2 linked regions of the Macaca fascicularis genome follow. The main gene of each other region encodes a partner of the protein of the gene in region 2 in a complex. Links are inferred from orthologs where the notes say so. Each region holds a gene or a part of one and is shown on either strand. Other genes may lie near its edges.

What was found.
Region 1: PRPF19 (region 2) and PPIE share a complex: the UniProt entries of both Homo sapiens proteins name them as parts of the XAB2 complex. The link is inferred for Macaca fascicularis from reciprocal best matches to the Homo sapiens genes PRPF19 and PPIE.

The regions. Positions count from the first base shown.
Region 1 is NC_088375.1:195,154,256-195,166,083, forward strand, and holds the start of PPIE (peptidyl-prolyl cis-trans isomerase E), read right to left. Parts: upstream 5,710-11,828; 5' UTR 5,691-5,709; coding exon 5,660-5,690; exon of another isoform or gene 4,883-5,659; intron 4,416-4,882; coding exon 4,317-4,415; intron 2,249-4,316; coding exon 2,205-2,248; intron 1,723-2,204; coding exon 1,696-1,722; intron 440-1,695; coding exon 358-439; intron 1-357. UniProt on the Homo sapiens protein: Involved in pre-mRNA splicing as component of the spliceosome. Combines RNA-binding and PPIase activities.
Region 2 is NC_088388.1:13,370,231-13,381,624, reverse strand, and holds part of PRPF19 (pre-mRNA-processing factor 19), read right to left. Parts: intron 10,574-11,394; coding exon 10,424-10,573; intron 10,248-10,423; coding exon 10,171-10,247; intron 9,590-10,170; coding exon 9,448-9,589; intron 9,365-9,447; coding exon 9,291-9,364; intron 9,175-9,290; coding exon 9,112-9,174; intron 8,255-9,111; coding exon 8,213-8,254; intron 8,084-8,212; coding exon 8,009-8,083; intron 7,644-8,008; coding exon 7,568-7,643; intron 7,406-7,567; coding exon 7,296-7,405; intron 6,027-7,295; coding exon 5,871-6,026; intron 5,616-5,870; coding exon 5,546-5,615; intron 5,314-5,545; coding exon 5,228-5,313; intron 4,960-5,227; coding exon 4,789-4,959; intron 4,638-4,788; coding exon 4,532-4,637; intron 1-4,531. UniProt on the Homo sapiens protein: Ubiquitin-protein ligase which is a core component of several complexes mainly involved pre-mRNA splicing and DNA repair. Required for pre-mRNA splicing as component of the spliceosome.

The sequences.
Region 1 (11,828 bases), on a different chromosome or scaffold from region 2:
AAGTCCAGCTCTCAGGAGGGCTAAGAAAAATAGCTATGTGGAAAGCAATGGTATAGCCTTTGCTGGTTTCAGCCCTTGATGGAGCACCCCAGAAATGGAGTATCAAGAAAACTGGGAAAGATGAGCTCAAGCAGGAATTTCTCTCATAACAGAAACAATTACTCTGGCTTTGCTGAGAAGCTCAAACTCACTTTTTGTTTCTCTATAAAGGAGGTGCGTGCCCTTCCCGATGTGAACCATCTCCTATCTACCAGGAAGCAGAATTGAGCATCTACTTCCAAGTAAACAGAGACAAAAAATGCAATTAAGGCTAAACTGCAGAACATCACAGGGAATCTGGAAGTTGCTCCTACTCACCTGGCCTGGAAGAGCCTTCCTTAATTCTCATTGGTTTGGCCAAATTGACACGAATTGTACGTCCAAAAAGCTCAGATTCATTCTGAAAAGATTAAAATCCAGCTGTTTAAACTCTCTTAGATTAAAAGAGGGCCAGCCAGCTTTCCATTTACTTCTGAGACACACTCATGATTTGTCCTCCCTTAATCCTTGGGCCCCTACGAGTAAGCTATGCACCCACCCCAAAGCCACCTGTGGGTTGCAGGGAATTCTAGAACCATCACACACACCCCTTTCTTTCATAGCAGCACGCAAAGACCTGTATTACCAAAAGTAACTCTGGGTTCAGAACACTCCAAAATTACAAGAATAAATGCAGTTTCCCAGCATCTGAGTTCACCTTCAAAAGTCAAGATAAGCTTTGAAATGAAAGAAAAATGATCTCTGACAGTTGAGGAATATGTTTGGTGAATGGATAACAGAACAAGGAATAAAAGAACATTTCATTATCCATAGATAATCAGTACCAGGAAAGTTTACTTAAGGTGAATCCACTTGAAGTGCTGATGAAGATTTCATGGTAAAAGTGAAAAATTTAAAAAGGTTTGACAGGGAAATGACTGTGATGAAACTAAAAATAATAAAAACAAGTTTCTTACAATTAATATTCAGGATTAACTCTGCACTAATCGGTAGAAAGAAATGTAACAGCCCTGTTGGCTTGAGCCTGTAATTCCAGCTACTTGGGAAGCTGAGAAGGGAGGGCTGCTAGAACTCAGGAGTTCAAGACAGACGGACGGACGGCTGGACGGAGGGAAGGAAACAGACACTGAAGTATTATTTTTCCAATAAAATTCTATCAACAGTATATCTTTGCACTTCGTATCAGACATGAAAACTAAAAGGACCTCAAGGAGGGCACAAATACTAAACAGCATCATCATTTTTCCCAAGGACCTTTCCAGAACATCCAAATCATTTGTATCAGTGATTTGCACCTGCCATAATTAAATTTCTCTTCTCAATTGTAAATTGGTCATGAAATCCTATTTTGCAAAATATGCAGTTAACTGTGCAATCAATTTGCACTGTGTTTTCAAATTATCTTAGACATGGGACAGCCAGTGAGAGACTGGTCAACAAGGATGATGAGGACTTACATTATTATTAAATGGGGAAGGAGTCTGAGTAAGAACTAATTTTATAAGTGATCAATTCACAGTGAATATTTTCACGTGAGAATTTTTACCTCCCCATGCAACCTTGTAACTTTGGAAGTCCAGAACACTGATATATGAATAAGGACCCTCTGTACCACCAAAAAGCAACTTTGGTTAGAATGAAGATTCCCAGTCATACCATGTTGTCGATAGCTGCTGCAGCATCCTGCCAAAGAAAGACAACGGTACAAGTTTAGGCTTGCAGCCAAATGCTTATGGTGTCTAAACATATGTTCAGTAGCAAAAATCCAGAAAAATGCCGCCTCTACATTTCTTGCCTAGGTTGTGTATGTTTCTAACAAAGAGCACTTCCTGGCTGATTTTAGAGCTGGTGGTGCAACAATTTGCCATATGGTTGAAGGCACAAGAAATAATCACTACTGCCAGGCAAGAATGCTCAATGAACAGGGGTGTAGGAGCTAGCTCCTCTGCAGGGCAAGAATGGCAGGGCCTGGCAGAAGGTCTGACGTGTTATTCACAGTTCAGTATGATTATGTGAGAGAAGCTTTCCTTAGAACAGTACTTACTTCTGATCTCTCTGGCAGCATCAGCCTAAGGCCCAACAACCTAACCAAATGGTGAAAAGCTTCCTTTTTAATCTGTAACATCACAAACCAAGGACTAAACACCAGTAACACAGACTCTCACCTCTGCCAACTCAAATTCAACAAAAGCAAATCCTCGGTGCTTTTCTACAAAATGGAAAAACAAAAACAAGTAATTACTATGTGGGGCAGTGGGAGGAAACAGGATGGTCACAAAGTGAAGTCAGTCACATGCCATATCCAAACACCAGAAGTTCTATCCAATCACTATTTAGGAAGAAGGAATCTCATTCTTTGATTCTTCTTATACAATATTTTAAGCAATAATAAACTTTGTTTTTTTAATGGACATAGCTGAATAATAAACTGTATTGTTAATTAATAAGTATTCAACTAATCTACCAAAGCCAAACTTAAAACCTTAACTATTAGGCCGGGCGCGGTGGCTCAAGCCTGTAATCCCAGCACTTTGGGAGGCTGAGATGGGCGGATCATAAGGTCAGGAGATCGAGACCATCCTGGCTAATACGGTGAAACCCCGTCTCTACTAAAAAATACAAATAACTAGCCGGGCGCGGTGGCAGGCGCCTGTAGTCCCAGCTACTCGGGAGGCTGAGGCAGGAGAATGGCGTAAACCCGGGAGGCGGAGCTTGCAGTGAGCTGAGATCTGGCCACTGCACCCCAGCCTGGGTGACAGAGAGAGACTCCGTCTCAAAAAAAAAAAAAAAAAAAAAAAACAAAAAAACAAAAAAACCTTAACTATTGCATGCAACGCAATTAGAAAACTAAGGTCATTTGACCTATCAATTACCTATCCAATATACATTTTGTGCATCAACTGTGCATAAAGCATGAATACTAAAACCTGATAAAGATGCTCAGTCTTTATCCTCAGGAAAATGCTGAAGGAACTGGAAAGACCAAGCACAATAATGTTAATCATAGAACTCAGAGACTAGAAGGGCCCTTAGAAAGCCAATAGGCCGGGCGCGGTGGCTCAAGCCTGTAATCCCAGCACTTTGGGAGGCCGAGACGGGCGGATCATGAGGTCACGAGATCGAGACCATCCTGGCTAACACGGTGAAACCCCGTCTCTACTAAAAAATACAAAAAACTAGCCGGGCGTGGTGGCGGGCGCCTGTAGTCCCAACTACTTGGGAGGCTGAGGCAGGAGAATGGCGTGAACCCGGGAGGCGGAGCTTGCAGTGAGCTGAGATCCGGCCACTGCACTCCAGCCTGGGCAGCAGAGCGAGACTCCGTCTCAAAAAAAAAAAAAAGAAAGCCAATATAGGCCAGGCTCAGTGGCTCATGCCTGTAATCCCAGCACTTTGGGAGGCCGAGGCGGGCGGATCACAGGAGATTGAGACCATCCTGGCTAACATGGTGAAATCCCATCTCTACCAAAAAAATACAAAAAATTAGCCGGGTGTGGTGGCGGGCGCCTGTAGTCCCAGCTACTAGGGAGGCTAAGGCAGGAGAATGGCGTGAACCCGGGAGGCGGAGCTTGTAGTGAGCCGAGATCACGCCACAGCATTCCGGCCTGGGTGACAGAGCGAGACTCCATCTCCAACCAAAAAAAAAAAAAAAAAAAAAAAAGCCAATATAACCTTATCATTTTGCAAATAAAGATTCCCCAGGCCTTTAAACTCTCTGGAGAGTTTAAAGACCTTGCTAACAATCATATGCAAGGTTGATGATAAAACTAGACCTAAAACTATAATCTTAAAAATGACAACAAAGGTAAAACAGAAAACTGAACTGTGATTGTGATACCAGTCAAAGGGAAACCCACCCAGGTGTGTAGAGGCCAAGAATCCCCACCCCTGTCCCCCACTCCCCGCTCCAATTATAGGGTTAGGCTTTCCTGCTGCCCCATTTAACAGCACAGCTGCCAAGAAGGAGCAGGTGGGATCAGGTAGATTAAAACAACATTCAAATCTCAGTGTAGTTCAAACCTATCTCCCTACTGGTCTATTGAAAAATCTGTCTTATCTCAACCCAACAGCTGAAGACTGAAAGTATTCAGAGTTCACAACCACATTGCCTCAGAACATTCCTTCTCCATCAAGATCACTGTCACCAGGCACCTTCATGAACTTTCCTGTAGTGTATACTAACCATATTTAGAATGCATATTTAGAATTGCGATGTGACTTTAATTTTTTAAGGTCTTTTCCTAATAAGAGGATTCTGGATGTGAGAGACGCTAACTCACCTGTTTCATAATCCAGAGGAATCTGAATATCTGTGATATCTCCAAAAGGAATGAACGCAGCATGAAGAACTTTGTCGTCCACCTCCTCTGCCAGTCCACCTGCAAATAAGCCAAGGGCCTTCTGAGCCACTGATCTCCATACTCTTGCAGAAGTCACTGCAGCCCAGTTAGCATGCTAGCCAGGGGACAGGATCCTTCCATTCAGTTCTTTGGGTACACAAACATCCCCCTTTCATCTCTGCCCACCCACACTTATGAAAAATATTCCTCTCTTCGCCCTTCTTTCAGATTCTCATCTAGTCCTGGGATTACTGCAATAGCTTCACAACTGACCCTGCCTCCACTCCATCAACTCCACAAAGCCAACTAGAATGATCTTAGGAAAATGCAGATTTGAACCCGTAACTTTTCTGCTTAAACTCCTTCAAAGACTTCCCACTGTCCTCAGGATAAAGTGCAAACTCCTTAGCAGTATCCACTTCTCCAGCTTTTTTGCTTTGCTTCCCAATTTCCTGGGTCTCCTGAATAATGACCCACTTGCCCCCAAGTGTCAGGCTATTTCTCACCTTTGCGACTCCCTTGCAGTGAACAGCCCTGCCTCTGCTTCGGTTAGATAGCTAACTCCTGCTCATCAGCTCTGGCATCGCCACATCCAGAGTTTGCCCTCACTTCTCCAGATGCATGGGTCATTTGTCCCGCAGCCAGGCCCATATCATCATGGTCCATCCTCACTACAGCGCTTATCAAAAGTGTGCTACTGAGGTAATTCCACTTTTTTTCTGGCTAGTCTGGGAACTCCTTCCTTTATGGCGGGGGCTAGGGCTGGGGCTGGGGCTGAGCCGTCGCTGCACTGATGTTTGTAAAACAAATGAACGAGAGGATCTGGAGGACCATAATATTCCTCTACCGCTCCTCGGGGGCCGTGGAGCTCAGCGGGCTAGGAAGAAGTCAGAATAACCATGCAGTCTCGGGTTCACACACCTGAGGTGTGTGGCAAGGCTGTTCACTGAAAGAGAGTCGCAAAAGCAGAGGCCCAAGGTTGTTAAATAACCTGACCCTTGGGGGCAAGTGGGTCATTTTTCGGGAGACCCAGAGAATTGGGAAGCCAAGCAAAGAAGCTGAAGAGGTGGCTACTGCTAAGGAGTTTGCACTTTTTCCTGAGGACAGTGGGAAGCCTTTGAAGAAGTTTAAGCAGAGCCAGAGCTACCGCCAGCACTACCTCCAGAGACCCGGCCTTGACAGCTGCTCGCCGTCCTCCTGGTTCAGAGATGCGTCCCACCCCACGCCCGACCCTCTGGGGGTCGCATTTACCCAGACTCCGCCTAGCAACCCCGCCTGCTCACCCACGTACAGGACGCGCTTGGTGGTAGCCATCTTGCTCGCGCGCTTTTCCGCCGGAAGCCAGCACTCGGCCCGCCCTCTTCCCCCCGTTCCGCCCCCTCTGGCCCCGCCCCGCCCCCGCAACGCTTAGCTCTCAGACCCCGCCCACCCTCGCGTTGGTCCAACCCTCATCCCGCTACCCGGAAGCACCGGGAGCCCTGTGCGGTACGCAGTGATAAACAAAGGAACGTGGTCGTCGCGATTCCTAGTGCTTACGCTGTTGGGGGAGGCAAACCTTGGCCGAATCAACCCTATTATTATGGGCAAACGATAAACTATGGTGCGTGGTCATCGTGCGCGTCTGTTTTTGGACAACCCGGAAGCTAAGAATGAGTTTTACCTTTTGAAATAGTTGGAAAAAAATTAAAACAAAAATATTTTCTTGGCCGGGCTTGGTGGCTCATGCCTGTAGCCCCAGCACTTTGGAAGGCTGAGGCGGGCGGATCACCTGAGGTCAGGAGTTCGAGAGCAGCCTGGCCAACATGGTGAAACCCCGTCTCTACTAAAATACAAAAATCAGCCGGGCGTGGTAGCGGGCGCCTGTAATCCCAGCTACTCCAGCTACTCAGGAGGCTGAGTCTGGAGAATCGCTTAAACCCAGGTGGTGGAGGTTGCAGTGAGCAGAGATTGCGCGGTTGCACTCCAGCCCGGGTGATGAGAGCAAAACATCGTCTCAAAAAAAATTTTTTTTTCTTTTCTTAGCACATGAAAATTATGTGAAATTAAAATTTCAGTGTCCATAAAGAAAACTTTATGGGGACACAGCGACGTTCATTCCTTTAAGTATGACTGTGGCTGCTTTCCTTCTATAAGGGCGGAAAAGCTATAGCCTGCAAAGCCTGCAATAATATTTACCATCTGGCTCTTCAGGAAGAACGTTTGCCGACTCGTGTTAGGTTTTGAAAAGAAGGGAAGGGTTAAAGAAAGACACACACACACAGAGAAAGAGGGCAGCTCAACAGCAAACGTAGGCTTTATGTTCAGCATAATAACCTACAGAAGTAGGGAACCAGCCTAATGCCAGTGCCCACCACTGCTTACCGACTGGGCAATGTATAGGTATGAGCGGGAGGCGTCTGGGCAGTATGGCTTGCTGCCTGGCAGGATATTGATATAAAGATGTTCTCATGATGAGGCGGTTTGGCCCTTGTTCCGGTGGGATGTCATCATGGTGTCCCTTGGACCTTTGCCCAGCAATGTATGAGAGGGATGTTTCTTTAGTTGAGCCTTTGTCTGCCTTGTGGTCAGGGGGTTAGGCAGGATGTTTCTCACAGCCCAAACCCCTGTGAAATATTTCACTTTGACCGAGGTCTGCAGAATAGCAGGGAGCTTACAAAATGGTGCCGTTTAGACTAATATCTTGGACTAAACCCACTAATACATAAATTACAGGTTGACATAGTGGCACGAAATAATGGGATCGTCTATTTTATATGGAGCAGGGGGTTAAGACCTTCCTGAGGTGATAGTTAAGCTGAATTCTGAAGGAAAAGGAGCCAGAGAGAGGAGGAGGCAGCTTCTGCACACTCAAGGAACTAAAAGACCAGAGCCTGGGGTAGCGGGGTGGAGGGCATATCAGGTGGGAAAGGTGGGCAGAGGGCCACATCATGAGGGCGCTGTAAGCCACCTGGAAGATATGGGGGCTTTGAGAAGCTGCGGAAGTTACAACAGGAGAGTTACATGATCACATCATTTTAAATAGTGCTCTGACACTAGGCCCAGAATGGATTGATTGGAACCCTGGAGACCAGGAAATTAATGTAGTAGGCTAGGGAGGAGTTGATAGTGGCTCTGTTCCTTCAATCCACTTGTCCAAGGTGATTTTTTGTTTGTTTGTTTTTGTTTTTTGAGACCGGGTCTTGCTGTCTTACCCAGGCCAGAAGGCAGTGACATGATCATGGCTCACTGCAGCCTCAGCCTCACAGCTTCAAATGATCCTCCCACCTTAGCCTCCCGAGTAGCAGCTGGGAGTACAGGTGCACATCACCATGACCAGCTAACTTTTTTTTTTTTTTCTTTAGAGACGGGGTCTTACCATGTTGCCCAGGCTGGTCTCAAACTCCTGAACTTAAGCAATCCTCCCGCCTTGGCCTCCCACACTGCTGGGATTATAAGTGTGAGCCACTACACCCGGCCTAGGGTGATTTTTCTTCAAAATAAACCTAAATTCTCTAGAACTCCCTACTTAAATCACTGATGCTGCTCACAAGGTCCTTGACAAGGGGTCCATGCCTACCTCAAGTCAACCCTGACCTCCACATCAGCTCCTCACCTACTTACCACGGGCTCTTTTTCCTTGCTTCTGCTTTTGCTCATTGAGTTCTTTCTTTTCTCCATCTGGAGGCACCCACCAGTCCTTGTCAGAGGTCCTAGTTAAGCTTCACTCACCCAAATCCCCTATAGACAGAGTCCATAGTCCCCAAGTTTAGAAGTCAATTGACACACACCCTATAACTATAGTCAGGTATGTCTCTCTGTCTCCCAGTAGATGGAGATATTTGACACCACGGCCTGTACCCATTGTATTCCCAGAGCTAAGCAGTGGCTGCACACACAGTTGATCTTACCAACCTCATGCCAAACCAGGGAGTCGATGCTTATAGGAATGAGACTATGAGATCTGATTAGGAGAGCTGTTTGTGTACCCCTCACTATTCCAAACCAAAAGGTCACTCTCAAGAAGAATCTGACCAGGCGTCCTTTATGTGGTGTGGTATAATAAAAAATAGATATTTGGTCTTCGTCCTAGTTCCTGGCACAGAGCTTCTAAAACCATTGGAATATCCTGAGTGCTGTGTCTTTTGTTATTCATAATGAGCCCATTTTGACCATACCTAAGTTTATGCTAAGCAGATGACTCAAGATAGAACCCCTAGCTCGCTTCAGGATGGGGGTTGGTCACCAGAGAAACAAACCACGTGATTAGAGGGTTGGGACTTCCAGCTCCCGCCTTCAACCTCTGAGGAGAGGAGGGGGTTGGAAATTGGGTTCAATCACCAACGCCCAATGGTTTAATCAGCCATGCCTAGGTAATGAAACCTCATATAAACACTCTTAATGCGGTTTGGGGAGTTTCCAGGTTGGTGAACACATTGATGTGCTTGGAACGCAGCATGCCTAGAGAGGGCATGGAAGCTCTCCAGCCCCTCTCCATTCCCACCTTGCCCTGTGCATCTTTTCCTATAATCTTTACAGCCAGGTTTGAATGCATTGTTTGGATAAGCAGGAACAAACTTCTCCTGTGGGGAAGATAGTTCATAAAAAACCAGATGGAATCTCAGTAACCCTGGTGTCTGGGTCAGCACAAGCTTCTGGCCCTCTCTTCTTTTGTAGGCACATGCGTCACTCACTCAGCACCTGCTTCTGTTCTTGGGAAAGTATTGCTGCCAGCATGGAGGCAGTCAGGGGTTCCTGGCCTGCACATGGACAGCAGGCTGGGGTGCCTGGGAACCAGGAGAAGCAGTGGGTTAGCACCCAAGGAAAGGATAGCACTCGATGGTGGTCAAAGTTAGGACACTCCAACCACTTGACACCTGAATGCTACCATTCAGAATCCAGGGGAAGGGGAGAAGTAATGGTTTTTGACCAAATTCAGCCCATTGTGAGGGGAGTGGTGGTGATACAAAACTGTATAGATTCTCGTCCAAGCGCAGTGCCTCACGGCTGTAATTCCAGCACTTTGGAAGACTGAGGTGGGTGAATTTCTTGAGCTCAGGAGTTCGAGACCAGCCTGGCCAATATGGCAAAACCCTGCCTCCACTAAAAACACAAAAATTTGCCAGGCGTGGTGGTGTCCGTCTGTAGCCTCAGCTACTCAGGAGGCTGAGGCAGAAGAATTGCTTGAACTTGGGAGGCGGAGGTTGCAGTGAGCCGAAATCGTACCATTGCACTCCAGCCTGGGCGGCAGAGTGAAACTCCGTCTCAAAAAACATAACTATGAGGCTGAGTGTGGCGGCTCATGCCTATAATCCAAGCAATTTGGGAGGCCGATGTGGGCGGATCGCCTGAGGTCAGGAGTTCAAAACCAGCCTGGCCAACATGGTGAAACCCTGGCTCTACTCAAAACATGAAAATTAGCTGGATATGGTGGTGCACACCTGTAGTCCCAGCTACTCGGGAGGCTGAAGCAGGAGAATCACTTGAACCCAGGAGCCAGAGGTTGCAGTAAGCCAAGATGGCGCTACTGCACTCTAGCGTGGGTGATAGAGTAAGACTCCATCTCAAAAAAACAACCAAACAGAAAAACTATATAGATTCTCATCATATGTATAATAACATGCAACGTAATTAGAAAGGGGAGGTGAAAAGAGCCCATACAGAGCACACCTACTCTGTGTTGGGCCTAGTGCTAGGGAGATATTTCCACAGACATTTAGTTGTCACAAACTTGAGATAGAGATTATCTCCCCATTTTACCCAGGCCACCCAGGGAGGTCAAGCAATTTACTCACATTAGCAAAGTAATAACTGAGTATTTAATTTGTTGATTGAATATATAAAGCTCCAGTAACTATCATTAGCAGTACAGCTTTTTTCTAAGGACCACATTATCTCCTTTGGAGGGATGCCCAGAAATGATTGGACCAAAAGGTGTAAATACCAAAACAGTTATAATTATTATATGCCATAATGCCTCTTTCATTAAATGCTCTAGAAACATTAGCATACGATGTCAGTGATGAGCTCCAGTCTAGAAGCAGGTCCCTGAAGGCAGCAGAAAGGCTTCGTATCTTTTCACGTGGCATTAAGTTCTGGAAATCGCTTTAGAAAGCTAGGTGAAATGTAGGTGAAGTGAATGGGAAGTAAGGTGAAATGAATTTAAGTAGGTGAAATGAATGGGAGTGTGGGAAGCATCATTCTCCTATATTTCTGAGGGGAGTAGTTAGACATCATAGTCACACTTAGCACAATTTGTATTTACATTTACTTTTTATGTTTTTGAGACAGAGTCTCACTCTGTTACCCAGGCTGGAGTGCAGTGGTGTGATCACGGTTCACAGCAGCAGCCTTAAGCCTCAACCTCTGGGCTCAACCTCCTGCCTCAGCCTCCCGAGTAGCTGGAACTAATGACTAGTGTGCACCACCACACCTGGCTAATTTTTCCGTTTTTTTTTTTTTTTTGTAGAGACGGGGTTTTGCCACATTGCCCAGGCTGGTCTCGAACTCCTGGGCTCAAGCGATCCTCCCACCTCAGCCAGCCAGGGTGCTGGGATTATAGGCATGAGCCACAGCGCCTGGCTGCATTTACATTTTTAAAAATATTCAAAAATAGAGGATGCATTTACTTTTTAAAACCCCTTCTCTCCAACCAGAGAAAGAGCATTTTGAAAGCAGGGACCATGTCAGTTTGCTTACCACTGTAATCCCATACCACTGCACAATTCCTTGGTATTTAGTAGACTTTTAATATCTGATGAATGAAATAGAGAAAACCTTCTTGCAAATAAAGTTGAAATGGAAAATGCTATTCTTAGCACATTGGGTGCCTGGTCTCCGCTACAGAGGCTGAATCACAGGCCGTGGGCTGCCAACATCGGAGGTGTATTTATACACAGCAGCAGCACAAGGAGGAGCAGTGAGTGTGAGTGTGGTGGCACAGGTGCTACATACCGCACAGGTGCTACATACCGCACAGCTGCAGGATTCCCAAAGAAAAGAAAAAACCCAGTTCAAGTTCATCACTCCTAGCAATCAGTCTCCAAGAGTCTTCCTTTGATTCTTAACTGAGTCAGTGTTTGTATCACGGAGACTGTTTGAGGGACTAGAAGCTAAAACATTCTATCTGCCACTCAGTGACACTTTTCTTCACTGATAGCTGGAGGGACAGATGTCCAAGTGTGCCAAAACCTAGGGCTGTTTTTCTGCCTTACACCACAACCTCATAGGGCTGCATTTACCAGTGCCCTAAACTCTAGTCTCTTAGGTCTGGCAGGTTCCATACTCTAACATAGTGGTCCTAAAATACGAAACTGCATCAGAATCATTGGAGGGCTTGTTACAACACTGGTTGCTAAGCTCTACTCCCAGGGTTGCTAATTCAGTCAGTTTTGGGCAAAGCCAAGAATGCTCGCTTCTAACAAGTTCCCAGGTGATGTGGAAGCTGCTGGTCTGGGAACTATACTTTGAGAACCA
Region 2 (11,394 bases):
TAAGGCAAGGCACACAAATTTTTTTGGTTTCTCAGTACATATAAAAGTTATGTTGGCCAGGCATGGTGGCTCATGCCTATAATCCCAGCACTTTGGGAGGCCAAGGCAGGTGAATCACTTGAGGTCAGGAGTTCAAAACCAGCCTGGCCAACATGGGGAAACCCCGTCTCTACTAAATATACAAAAATTAGCCGGGTGTGATGGTGCACACCTGTGCTAGAACCCAGGAGGTGGAGGTTGCAGTGAGCTGAGATCGTGCCACTGCACTCCAGCCTGGGCGATAGAGACTCCATCTCAAAAAAAATGTTATGTTTACACTATACTGTAGTCTATTAAGTGTGTAATAACATTATGTCTAGTAAACAATGTACATACCTTAATCAAAAATACTTTTTTTTTTTTTTTTTTTGAGACGGAGTCTCGCTCTGTCGCCCAGGCTGGAGTGCAGTGGCCGGATCTCAGCTCACTGCAAGCTCCGCCTCCCGGGTTCAGGCCATTCTCCTGTCTCAGCCTCCTGAGTAGCTGGGACTACAGGCGCCCGCCACCTCGCCCGGCTAGTTTTTTGTATTTTTTAGTAGAGACGGGGTTTCACCGTGTTAGCCAGGATGGTCTCGATCTCCTGACCTCGTGATCCGCCCGTCTCGGCCTCCCAAAGTGCTGGGATTACAGGCTTGAGCCACCGCGCCCGGCCAATCAAAAATACTTTATTGCTAAAACATGCTAACAACCATCAGACACCTCAGAGAGTTGTAATCTTTTTCCAAGACCCCCCAGCGGGGTCTTGCCTTGATGCTCACGGCTGCTAACTGACAAGGGTGATGTCTGCTGAAGGCTGAAGTGGCTGTGGCAATTTCTCAAAATAAGACAACAATGAAGTTTGCCACATCGTTTCATTCTTCCTTTGACAAAAGATTTCTCTGTGATGGATGCTGTTTGATAGCATTTTACCCACAGCAGAACTTTCAGACTGGAACCAATCCTCTCAAATTCTGCATCTGCTTTATCAATTAAGTTTATGTAATATTCTAAATCCTTCATTACCATTTCACCAATGTTCACGGCATCTTCACCAGGAGTAGATTCCATCAAGAAACCACTTTCTTTGGTCATCCTTAACATCTCCTCATCCATTAAAGTTTTAACATGAGACTGCAGCAATTCAGTCACAGCTGTAGACTCCATTCGGATTCTAGTTCTGTTACTATTTCCTCCACATCTGTAGTTACTCCCTCCACTGAAGTCTTCAATCCCTCAAAGTCATCCAAGAGGGCTGAAGGGTTGGAATCAATTTCTTCCAAACTCCTCTTTATGTTAATAGTTTAACCTCCTCCCATGAATCACAAATGCTTTTAAGGGCATGTAGAATGGTGAATCCTTTCCAGATTTTCAATTTACTTTGTCCAGATCCATCAAAGGAATCACTATCCATGGCAGCTATAACTTTATAAAACATATTTCTTAAGTAATAAGACTTGAAAGTCAGAATTACTCCTTGATCCATAAGCTGAAGATTGGATGTTAGCAGGCATGAAACATCTGCATCTGAGCTTTAGGGTAATGAGGTGCACTGTGATATTTTGAAAGGACTCTATTTTTCTGAACAGTACCTTTTAATGGTGGGCTTAAAAAACATTCAGTAAACCATGCTGTAAACAGACGTGTTGTCATCCAGACTTTGTTGTTCTATTTACAGAGCACGGGCAGAGTAGATTTAGCCCTGCATTCTTAAGGGCGCTACAATTTTCAGAATGCTAAATGAGTTTTGGCTTCAATGTAAAATCACCAGCTGCATGAGTTCCTAACAAGGGAATCACTCTGATCTTTGCAGCTTGGACACCAGGCATCGACTTCTCTCTAGCTGTGGAAGTTCTAGACATCACCTTCTTCCAATAGAAGGCTATTCCATCTACACTGAAAATCTTTTGAGTGTAGCCCCCGTCAATGATCTCAGCTAGGTCTTCCGAATAACTTACTGCAGCTTCTACATCAGCATCTGCTGCTTCACCGTGCACTTTTCTGTTATGGAGATGGCTTCTTTCCTTAAACCTCATGAACCAACCTCTCTGTTAGCTTCAGACTTTTCTTTCAGCCTTCATAGAATTCAAGAGTTAGGATCTTGGTCTGGATTACGGTTTGGCTTAAGAGAATGTTGTGGCTGGTTTGATCTATCCGGACCACTGAAACTTTCTCCGTATCAGCAATAAGGTTGTTCTGCTTTCTTATCATTCGTGTGTTTACTGGAGTAGCACTCTTAATTTCCTTCAAGAATTTTCCTTTGCTTTCATAACTTGACTAACATTTGGCATTAAGAGGCCTAGCTTTTAGCCTATTTGGCTTTTTGCATGCCTTCCTCACTAAGCTCAATCATTTCTAGCTTTGAGTTTTAAGTAAGAAACATGGGACACTTTCTTTCACTTGAACACAGAGAGACCATAATACGGTTATTAACTGGCCTAGTTTCAATATTGTTGTGTCTAAGAGAACAGGGAGGTCTGAGAGGGAGAGAGATGGGGAACGGCTGGTGGGTGGAGTGGTCAGAACACACACACCATTTCATTTATCGATTTAGTATCTTATATGGGCACATTTCATGGTGCCCCCCCAACAATTACAATAGCGACATCAAAGATCATTAATCAGAGATCACCATAACAGACACAATAAATCATGAAGTTTGAAATACTGTGAGAATTACCAAAATTTGACACACAGACACAAAGTGAACACATGTTGTTGGAAAAACGGCACTGACAGACTTGCTCGGGGCAAGGTTGCCAAAAACCTTCAATTTATAAAAAGCAAAGTATCCACAAAGTACAATAAAGCTAAGTGCAATAAGACAAGGTATGCCTATCCTATACTTTTTTGGGTATTATTTTAAGCATACCCTTTCCACTTATAAAAAAAAGTTAATTGTAAAATAGCATCAAGCAGGCCCTTTCAGGAGGTATCCGAGAAGAAGGCATTATCATCCATAGGAGATGACAGGTTTACGTGTGTTAGTGCCCCGGAAGACCTTCCGGTGGGACAAGATGTGGAGGTAGAAGACAGTGATGTTGGTGCTATGGTTAGGCTTCGTGCCCCGACCCAAATCTCGTCTTGAATTGTAGTGCCCGTAATCCCCACGTGTTGTGGGAGGGAGCCAGTGGGAAGTAATTGAATCATGGGGGTGGTTACCCCCATGCTGTTCTCATGATAGTGAGTTCTCACGAGATCTGATGGTTTTATGAGGGGCTTTACCCCCTTTGTTCAGCATTTGTCTCCCCTGTCACCATGTGAAGAAAGATGTGTTTGCTTTCCCTTCTGCTATGACTGTAAGTTTCCTGAGGCCTCCCCAGTCACTGGGAGTCAATTAAACCTCTTTCCCTTATAAATTACCCAGGCAGTTCTTCACAGCAGTGTGAGAACGGACTAACACAGTTGGTGATCCTGATCCTGTGTAGGTCTAGGGTAATGTGTGCTTGTGTCTTAGTTTTTAATAAGAAAAGTTTAAAAAGTAAAAAATAAAAATTAAAAAAATTAGAAAACAGAAAAAAGCTTATAGAATAAGAATGTAGAGAGACAATATTTTTGTACAGCTGTACAATGTGTTTTTGTTTTAAGCTAAATGTTATTACAAAATAATCCATTTTTTTAAGTTTATAAAGTAAAAGTCAGTTAAGGCTTATTACTGAAGAAAAAGCTATTTATGAATTTAGTAAAACCTAAATGCACTGTGTTTATGAAGTCCACAGCAGTGTACAGTAATGTCCTAGGCCTTCACATTCACTCACAACTCACTCACTGAACGCAACTTCCAGTCCTGCAAGCTCCATTCATGGCAAGCAATATACCAGTGTACCATTTTTAAAAAATCTCTTCTACCTTATTTTTACTGAACCTTTTCTATGTTTAGATTGGTTTAGATACACATATACTCACCACTGTGTTATAACTGTACTCACTACATGTAATATGCTGTACCGGTTTGCAGCCCAGGAGCAGTAATAGACTACACTAAGGTTATAGCAACAGCCTTGGTGTGTAGCAGGCTACACCATTCAGATACGTGTGAGTTCACCCTACAATGGTCACACATGATGAAATCACCTAATAAGACATTTCTCAGAACATATCCCCATTATTAAAGGATATATAGACTGTATAAGCTTCAATCATCTGACCTTTCTGCAGGTCTAATATAATGTGGGCCTCCCATGCATATGCACGTCATTAAAATGGCTTTCCTCCTGTCACTCTGCCTAATGTTCATTGATTTCAGATTCAGTTATCAAACCTTCAGAGGGAGGAGTTTTCTCTCCCTTCAGTAACCTGCCCAATGCCACACGGCATGAAGTGGCAGAGCGACTACTAGCATCCACTGCCACGCAGTCTGACTCAGTCTGCTTCCTTAGCCATAAAGCTCTGCCTCAGGTGGTAACCGAAAGCTGCTTAGGTAAATTCATGCAAGTCCTAGAAATTCCTAACCCAGTGAGGCTTCCCTCCGGGCCTGGGCACCTAGAGACCCCAGGAGCCCAGGACCAGCCTCTACCTGTAAAGTGAAGAATCTCCGTCCATTGTTTGCAGATGTAGATCTGGACATCCGTGCCCCCAAGGGCTAGGTAGGTACCACTCTGGTCAAAGATCAGTGACTTTACCTGCCAGAAACAGAAAGAGAGAAGGTCACACAAGGGGAACAGAAACTATGGGGCAATTGCGGATAAGCAGAAGCAATTAGATTAATTCAATAAATAATCGACAAACAAGGAGACACAATGGAAAGCTGGGTGGGGCGGGGGAAGGGCATACCTCGAAGTTGTTATCCAGCTGCAATGTCTTAAAGTTCTTAAGCTTGCGCAGATCCCATAGCTTGACAGAGGAGTCATCAGCCGCTGTAGCCAGGTAGTAACCATTCTCAGAGAAGGCGATGCTAGTGATGGGGCCCGAGTGGCCAGGGAAGTTGGCCACATTAGTACGTTCCTACAGTGGTGGTGGGTAGTAAAACACGTCACCCACAGATCATGAGAGGAAGAAAATGGAGCTCACCAAACCCCTACCTGAGATGTCCCTCACTGTCCTTCCAGGAAGGCCAGCCAGCGGGACCCCGCAGACCACACCATCATATCACACAGGCATAGCCAGCGATGGCCCCTTCAGTGCCAGGTGCCACAAGCACCTCATCAGCACCACGTTGTCACAAACACCCGCTCTGGCCCTGGGCCTCAGATGGAAGCCCACCGTGTCCTACCTTCAAGTCCCAGATCTTGATCTGAGAGTCCATGGTTCCTGTGCCAAAGATGAGTCCATCAGGGTGGAACTGTGCACAGGTGAGAGCTGTGGAGGAGGAAGACGGACCTGTGGTCAGAGCCCACCAGGGAGAGACTAAGAGCAGCAAAGTTAGGTTCCTTGTTCTTCACGGTCCTCAGTGCACCCAGCACAAAGCCTGCACTAGGCAGGTGCTGATGGTAAATGTATCTTTAGAACAAATAAGCAAACGACTAAATAAAATGTAAAAGTAAATAATAAATAGCAAACAAAAAGGCTGAGCGCCTACGAGGCAACTTACAGCAGCCAGAGGTCTCATCTGTCACCTTGGTGAGCACACGCCCTGTCTGGATGTCAGAGAAAGCCCAGTACTGGGGGGAAAAAAAAAGAGAGAGAGAGAGAGAATGGAGTCAGTGAGAAAGTGGGTCCCAGGCTTTGGTGGCCTTTCAGGTAGACAGAGCCCCTGGTCTGGTAAACCCTGGCAAACCTAGCACCTCCCAGCAGAGAGGAAACATTCTCCTTTGAGGTTCTGGGGAAGCAGCTGGGGTGGGAAGATGTTCCCGCCACCCAGGATGTTCAAGCTTGGGGACCAGCAAGCCTCTCCAGGGCACTGGCTGGGACCGCACCTGATCATCGGAGGAGCTCAGGAGATAGTCACCAGTGGCGTGCAGGCTGAGGCCTGTCACAGCACTCTCATGGGCCCGAACCACCTGTACACAAGAGGCATTGGGGACCGACCAAATCCTGATAGTGGCATCGGGGGAAGCAGAAAACACCAGGTCCTACAAGGAAAACAAAGACAGAGTATCAGAGTCAGAGAAGAGACACAGATCAAAACAATGTTATAAAAGGAGGCAGGGGATGCCCAAAACTACCAACAATTGCTTCACCTTTCAGCCCTGCCCTCCCTGGAACCACCTACCCACCCAAAGGTGCCCACAACAGCCAATGGTAAACGCTATTCAAGTCGTAACTCATACATCATCAGGGCTTGTGGAGGCGTCCGCGCCATCTAGTGGTAAAAAGGCTAACTGCAACAGAGAGCAATTTTCCCATTTCCAGGACCAAAGGAAGAATGTAGCTAGTATAATTGAGGGACTGAATTTTTTATTCTATTTCATTGAAATTTAAGTAGCCACATGTAGCTAATTGCTACTGTACTGTATGGCACAGGTCTGGGCAGTACGGGGACTCGAAGGGGCTGCATGGCTGTATTTCAGTGCATCCCACATTTATGGATTTCCAGGGTAAGTTAGTTTTCCAAAAGATTTGGGGCAGGGAGAGAATTTCGTATCACTCACTCACCAATTTTTTGTTTAGTTAGGATATTAAAAGCCACAAGGCAAAAATAACTACCATCTTTATCAATACAATTTCATGAGACCTAACTATTAATACCCCATAAGCAAGAAAACAGTGCCCTCGATTTGAGTAATTTAGTCATGAAAAATTCACCATGTCATTCTTACATTTCTCATTTCCCTAAGGTCCAAGGGAAAGCTCGACTGGGAAGCGCTAAACCAACCACTGTCCTGCAGCCCCAAACCCAAACTGTCTTAGGCTTGAAATTCGAATCCCATAATATCATTAATCCAGTCCCATGAGTTACCTTTATCCTATAAACCAGAGGTTCTATTTACAACCCACACCACTTTCAATAGTCAACATGACTTTAACCCGTCTCGGAGGGTCATGAGAAAGCAAATACATCTGTCTTCCTCATACCTGTGAGTTGAGATTGAGTTGAGCTTTGTTTTCTGTAGTTTATATGACGAACACTATAAGATTTTTTCTTTCCCTAATATAAAACTTTTCAATGAATATGCTTGTCAAACTACACATTTCCCTTCTCTCCCTGGCTGGAAGACCACTGCTTTAGAAGGTCTCACGCAGAGTGAAGGGCAATCTCCACAACTCCAAAGTGAAGCCCTTCCAAGTGCCCACTCAGGAGTCAGCGCTCTTTCTCAGCCCCACTTCACAGAGACAGCAGGGGGGCGAGGGACAAACAACAGCCAAGGAAAGAAGATCCAAAGGTGGCAAGAACCCCTTACCTGGGAAGGGTGAAACACCACGCTGGTGACCTTCTTGGTATGGCCTTTGAGGGTAGCCAGGATTTGTTCCGAACTTTTGTCAAACACAACGACATTTTTATCTGCCCCACCTGGAGAAGACCCAAAGAGACCATACAATGAGTCAGGCCCACCCAGGCCCTTTTGCTGAAGGAAATGCTTTTGTCCCCATGCCCATGAAGAGGACAAGGCGCATGCAAATTCCCCGCTGCCCCTCCCCACCTTGGCCTGCTGGGCTAGGCCCAGACTCTCACCAGTGAGGATCTTGTTAGTGTCAGACGGGCAGAGGTCCAGGGCCAGGATCCCAGGAATGCTGGCACTGTGCAACCCCTTTGCAGAGAGACACACCAAACCCTGTCACAGCCAAATCACAGCAGGCCACAAAGCCACAGGTCTCCCCTACTGCCATCCCCAGTCACCCATGTTCTCAGGGGAGCAAGAGTTACTTCTACTCCTTATCCATATCTCTTGGCTATCTGCCTGCTGCGGTAACTCCTTCACTGCATCACTGGGAAACCCACAACTGGGCAGGAAGAGGAGCCCTGACAGCTCAGCAGCCCAGGCAAGAAACAGCGCCAGGAACAGTGCCAGGAGCCCGGGACAGCTCTGTACTCAGCACTCCCCATGCTGGCCCACCCACCCCAGACACAAAACAGGAGGGCTGTCTCCAAGACAGTGAAGACCCAGACACTCACCACATGGGACGCCACCTGCCGGTATTTGCTGAGCTCTTCTGGCTTCACCAGCTCCTCAGGCACAGTCTTCCCTCTCTGAGAAAATGAAAAAGCCCCCAAAGTACAGCAGCAATGAATCCAAGATCAGCCAGCCCCCTTTCTCCTAAGGGGTCAACTGCCTCCCACCAGGCCAGCTCTTTCTCCTGGCTTCAAAAGAGAACTCACCTTCTTGCGCTCCGTGGTTAGCACAGTGGCTTTGTCTTGAAGCTGGGGAAGAATAGGCTCAATGTGAGACAAATTATCTTGCAAGGAGAAAAGCACATTGGATGCTGGTCACACCTGTGCTTTCACAAGCAACACCCAGAATTTGCTATCTGCCAATTTCTACATTACAGGCTTAAAGGCATTCTCTCTTCTTACTTCCATCCCAGCTTTATAAGGGGGGTGTTGATGACCTTATTTTACAGCTGAGGACACTGAGCCTCAGAGAAGTGAAGTCAATTGCCCAAGGTTGCAGAGGTGATAAATAGCAGAGCAGGAATGGAGGCCAGGACTGTAGAGCTCCCATAGGTCTACATGCCACTCAGCCAAGGGCTCAGACACATGCTGACAATTTGAACTGCTCAGAAAGACACTAAAAAGCCCTGCAAATGAGAATCCCACTGGACTTGCAATCAGGAGCCCAGCTCTGCCTCTGATGTGTCTTTCATCTGTAAAATAAGGATTATAATTCCTGTCCTATTGCCCTCATAGAAAAAAAGCAAGAAAATATATAAAAGTAGTTTACTATCTGCAAATAATACCCAAAACAATAAGGGCTAAAAGGTGCACTTATCAGTAATTAAATCATTTAGATTCCCACATCAAGCCTATAAAGTGGATATTATTATATTCTCAGTTTAGAAGCTACAGAAATGAAACTTGGAAATCGGCTAAGGAAGCCAAGGTCATGTAGCTTACAAGTAGTGGCATCAAAATACAAACCCAGGCAATCTGGGCCCAGAATCCACGCTCTGCACCACTCAACTCCCAAAAGCATAGCGATTTTAGTCACGATGGACTCTAGACAGATGGGGAAAAGTAAGGGCCCATCAGCACTCCCACCAGGTGAGAGCAGGACTTACCTTCTGAATAATCTCTGGGGTCATTCCCACCAGCTCACCCAAATCCATTGGCTCGCCCGCACCCTGAAGAGAAGAAAGGTGAGGGTGAGGGGCACAGAGCACCAAAGACACCTACATAAGGACAGCTCTGTGGGCCACTGCACACAAATGGGCTGTGGTAAGGGAAGGGGGACACTTACTACAACACTTGGTTGGGAACTTGGCACAGCCTGGGGCACAATGAGACCAGCCTGTGGTTTCAGGGTAGCCAGAGCTGAGAGAAAAGACGATGTTAGAAATGGGATATTACAAAGCAGAACCAGCTCAGGGTGGGGGATGGCAGGGGGCAGGCTGCACCTTCTCGGGCAGCAGTGACTTCCTTGGTGAGACGGGCAATGACACGGCAGGCGGCATCGTGCTGGTACAGAGCGTGCGACAACTCTTGGCGGGTTGTCTGCAGCTGCTGGCGCAGAGTGAAGCTGTGCAGCATGACTGCATCCTGGGAGAGGCAAATATTACTGTGAGCTGAGGCGGGGGGCGCAGGGAGCACCCAGTGGAGCCAGCTCTTGGGGAGTGGATGCTGCCTCCTATCCCACAGCCTAGACCAGTATCAGTGACCCAAACAATATCCGAGCACCATGAATATGCCAGCAGACACTCTTGAGCTCCTACCCCAAGCCAAACACTGGGCACACAGACAGGAGTGGCAGTCAGCTCTTTCCCATCCCTACTTTCCCTAATTTACTGGCAAATTCCAGCTGTCATGCCGTCACCTCTCTAAAAGTGGATAACAACACTGCTGCTGCTGCTATTTATTGATTGCCCTCTTTGTGTCAGGCACTGTGCCAGACAGTCCTGCAGGATGTATTCAATCATTCAGTTCATAATTCTAGAGCACCTACTACGTACCAGGCGCTCTCAGTGCTGGGGATACAACAAAGAATAAAACAAAACCCTGATGTCACAAAACCCTGATGATGATTATCTAAATAATTCTCCATCCTTCCCACCCCCAAGTCCTAACTCAGCGATGCATTCTCTTCAAGTGGGGAAGATGCTAATTCTCTTGCAGGAACTCACCCACTCATCCTGCAAGGCTTTCAGAATGGCCGGGATGCTGGTGGCTGAGGGAGGCTTGGGCCGGATTGGGTGAGCAACTGCCGAAAGGGAAAGTAGGTATGAAGAGCATAACCCAGGGACCTCCCCTGCCATCACATCTTTTCCTTTTAGCCATAAACAGCCCACCATCTCCTCCTCCAGTGCATTGGCACCACCTCCCATCCTCTCAGGCTCTGAGCTAAGATGGCCCTAGACTAAGGCAGCCAATAGGCACCTTTGATGTCGATGAGCTGCTCCTCGGAGAGAGGCTGGTTGTTGATGGGGTCGGTACCATTCTCTGCAATGTACTTCTCAATGAGCCGCCGCTCATAAACATGATTAGAGACAGGGGACACACATGGGTGCTCCGGCACTTCATTAGAGACTGTAGAGAAAAGGCCGGCAGTGAGCTTGGAGTGAAGGCAATCTTGAGCCTAGAGGATTCCTCATCTGCTATTAGCCCCAACAAGACTAGGCATCCTCACAATCAACTAGCAAAAAGCAAGACATCTGACCCTAAGCCAGTTCTGTACTGGCCCCAGAACGCTTTCCAGCTGTGGAACTAGCTTTTCCTTTAGTCTCCTGACAATCAGATAGTCAACAAATAATTATTAACAACTACTATGTGCCAAGCACCTAGAGAACAGCAGTCCATTATCGCCACCTAATATCTGAACAATGATTGTGTACTCTATGAATACAGTTTACTCCATGACATGGAGACACACATGAAGCCATTCAAATCCCTTCCATCCATCTTAGTCTATAGCTCCAGAGGGATTATCAAAGAAATCATAAAGTCTGAGAATATAGGAATAACAAACTCAGTTTCTCCCATTCTCTCACAAAACAAAATACTTCTGTGACAGATGTGACCATCCGGGTGTCCTCCAATTCAATTCTGACACCAGGTACCTGGAGATAGTGTCAGATCACACGGGTTGAGGTCTCAGTCCCACCAGACTCCCCCACCCCTTCAGATGCCAATCGCAAGCTCCAGGTTGTTTGACCTGTTCTTCTGATCTACCAGCTGTAAATCAGGGTTCCCATGACCCCCTTTTTGGGTTCAATTAATTTTCAACAGTGACTCACAGAATTGTGGGAAACACTTATGTTGACCAGTTTATTATAAAGGATATTACAAAGGGTATAGATGAAGAGGTGCATAGGATGAGGTATGGGAGAAGGAGTACAGAGTTTCCCATG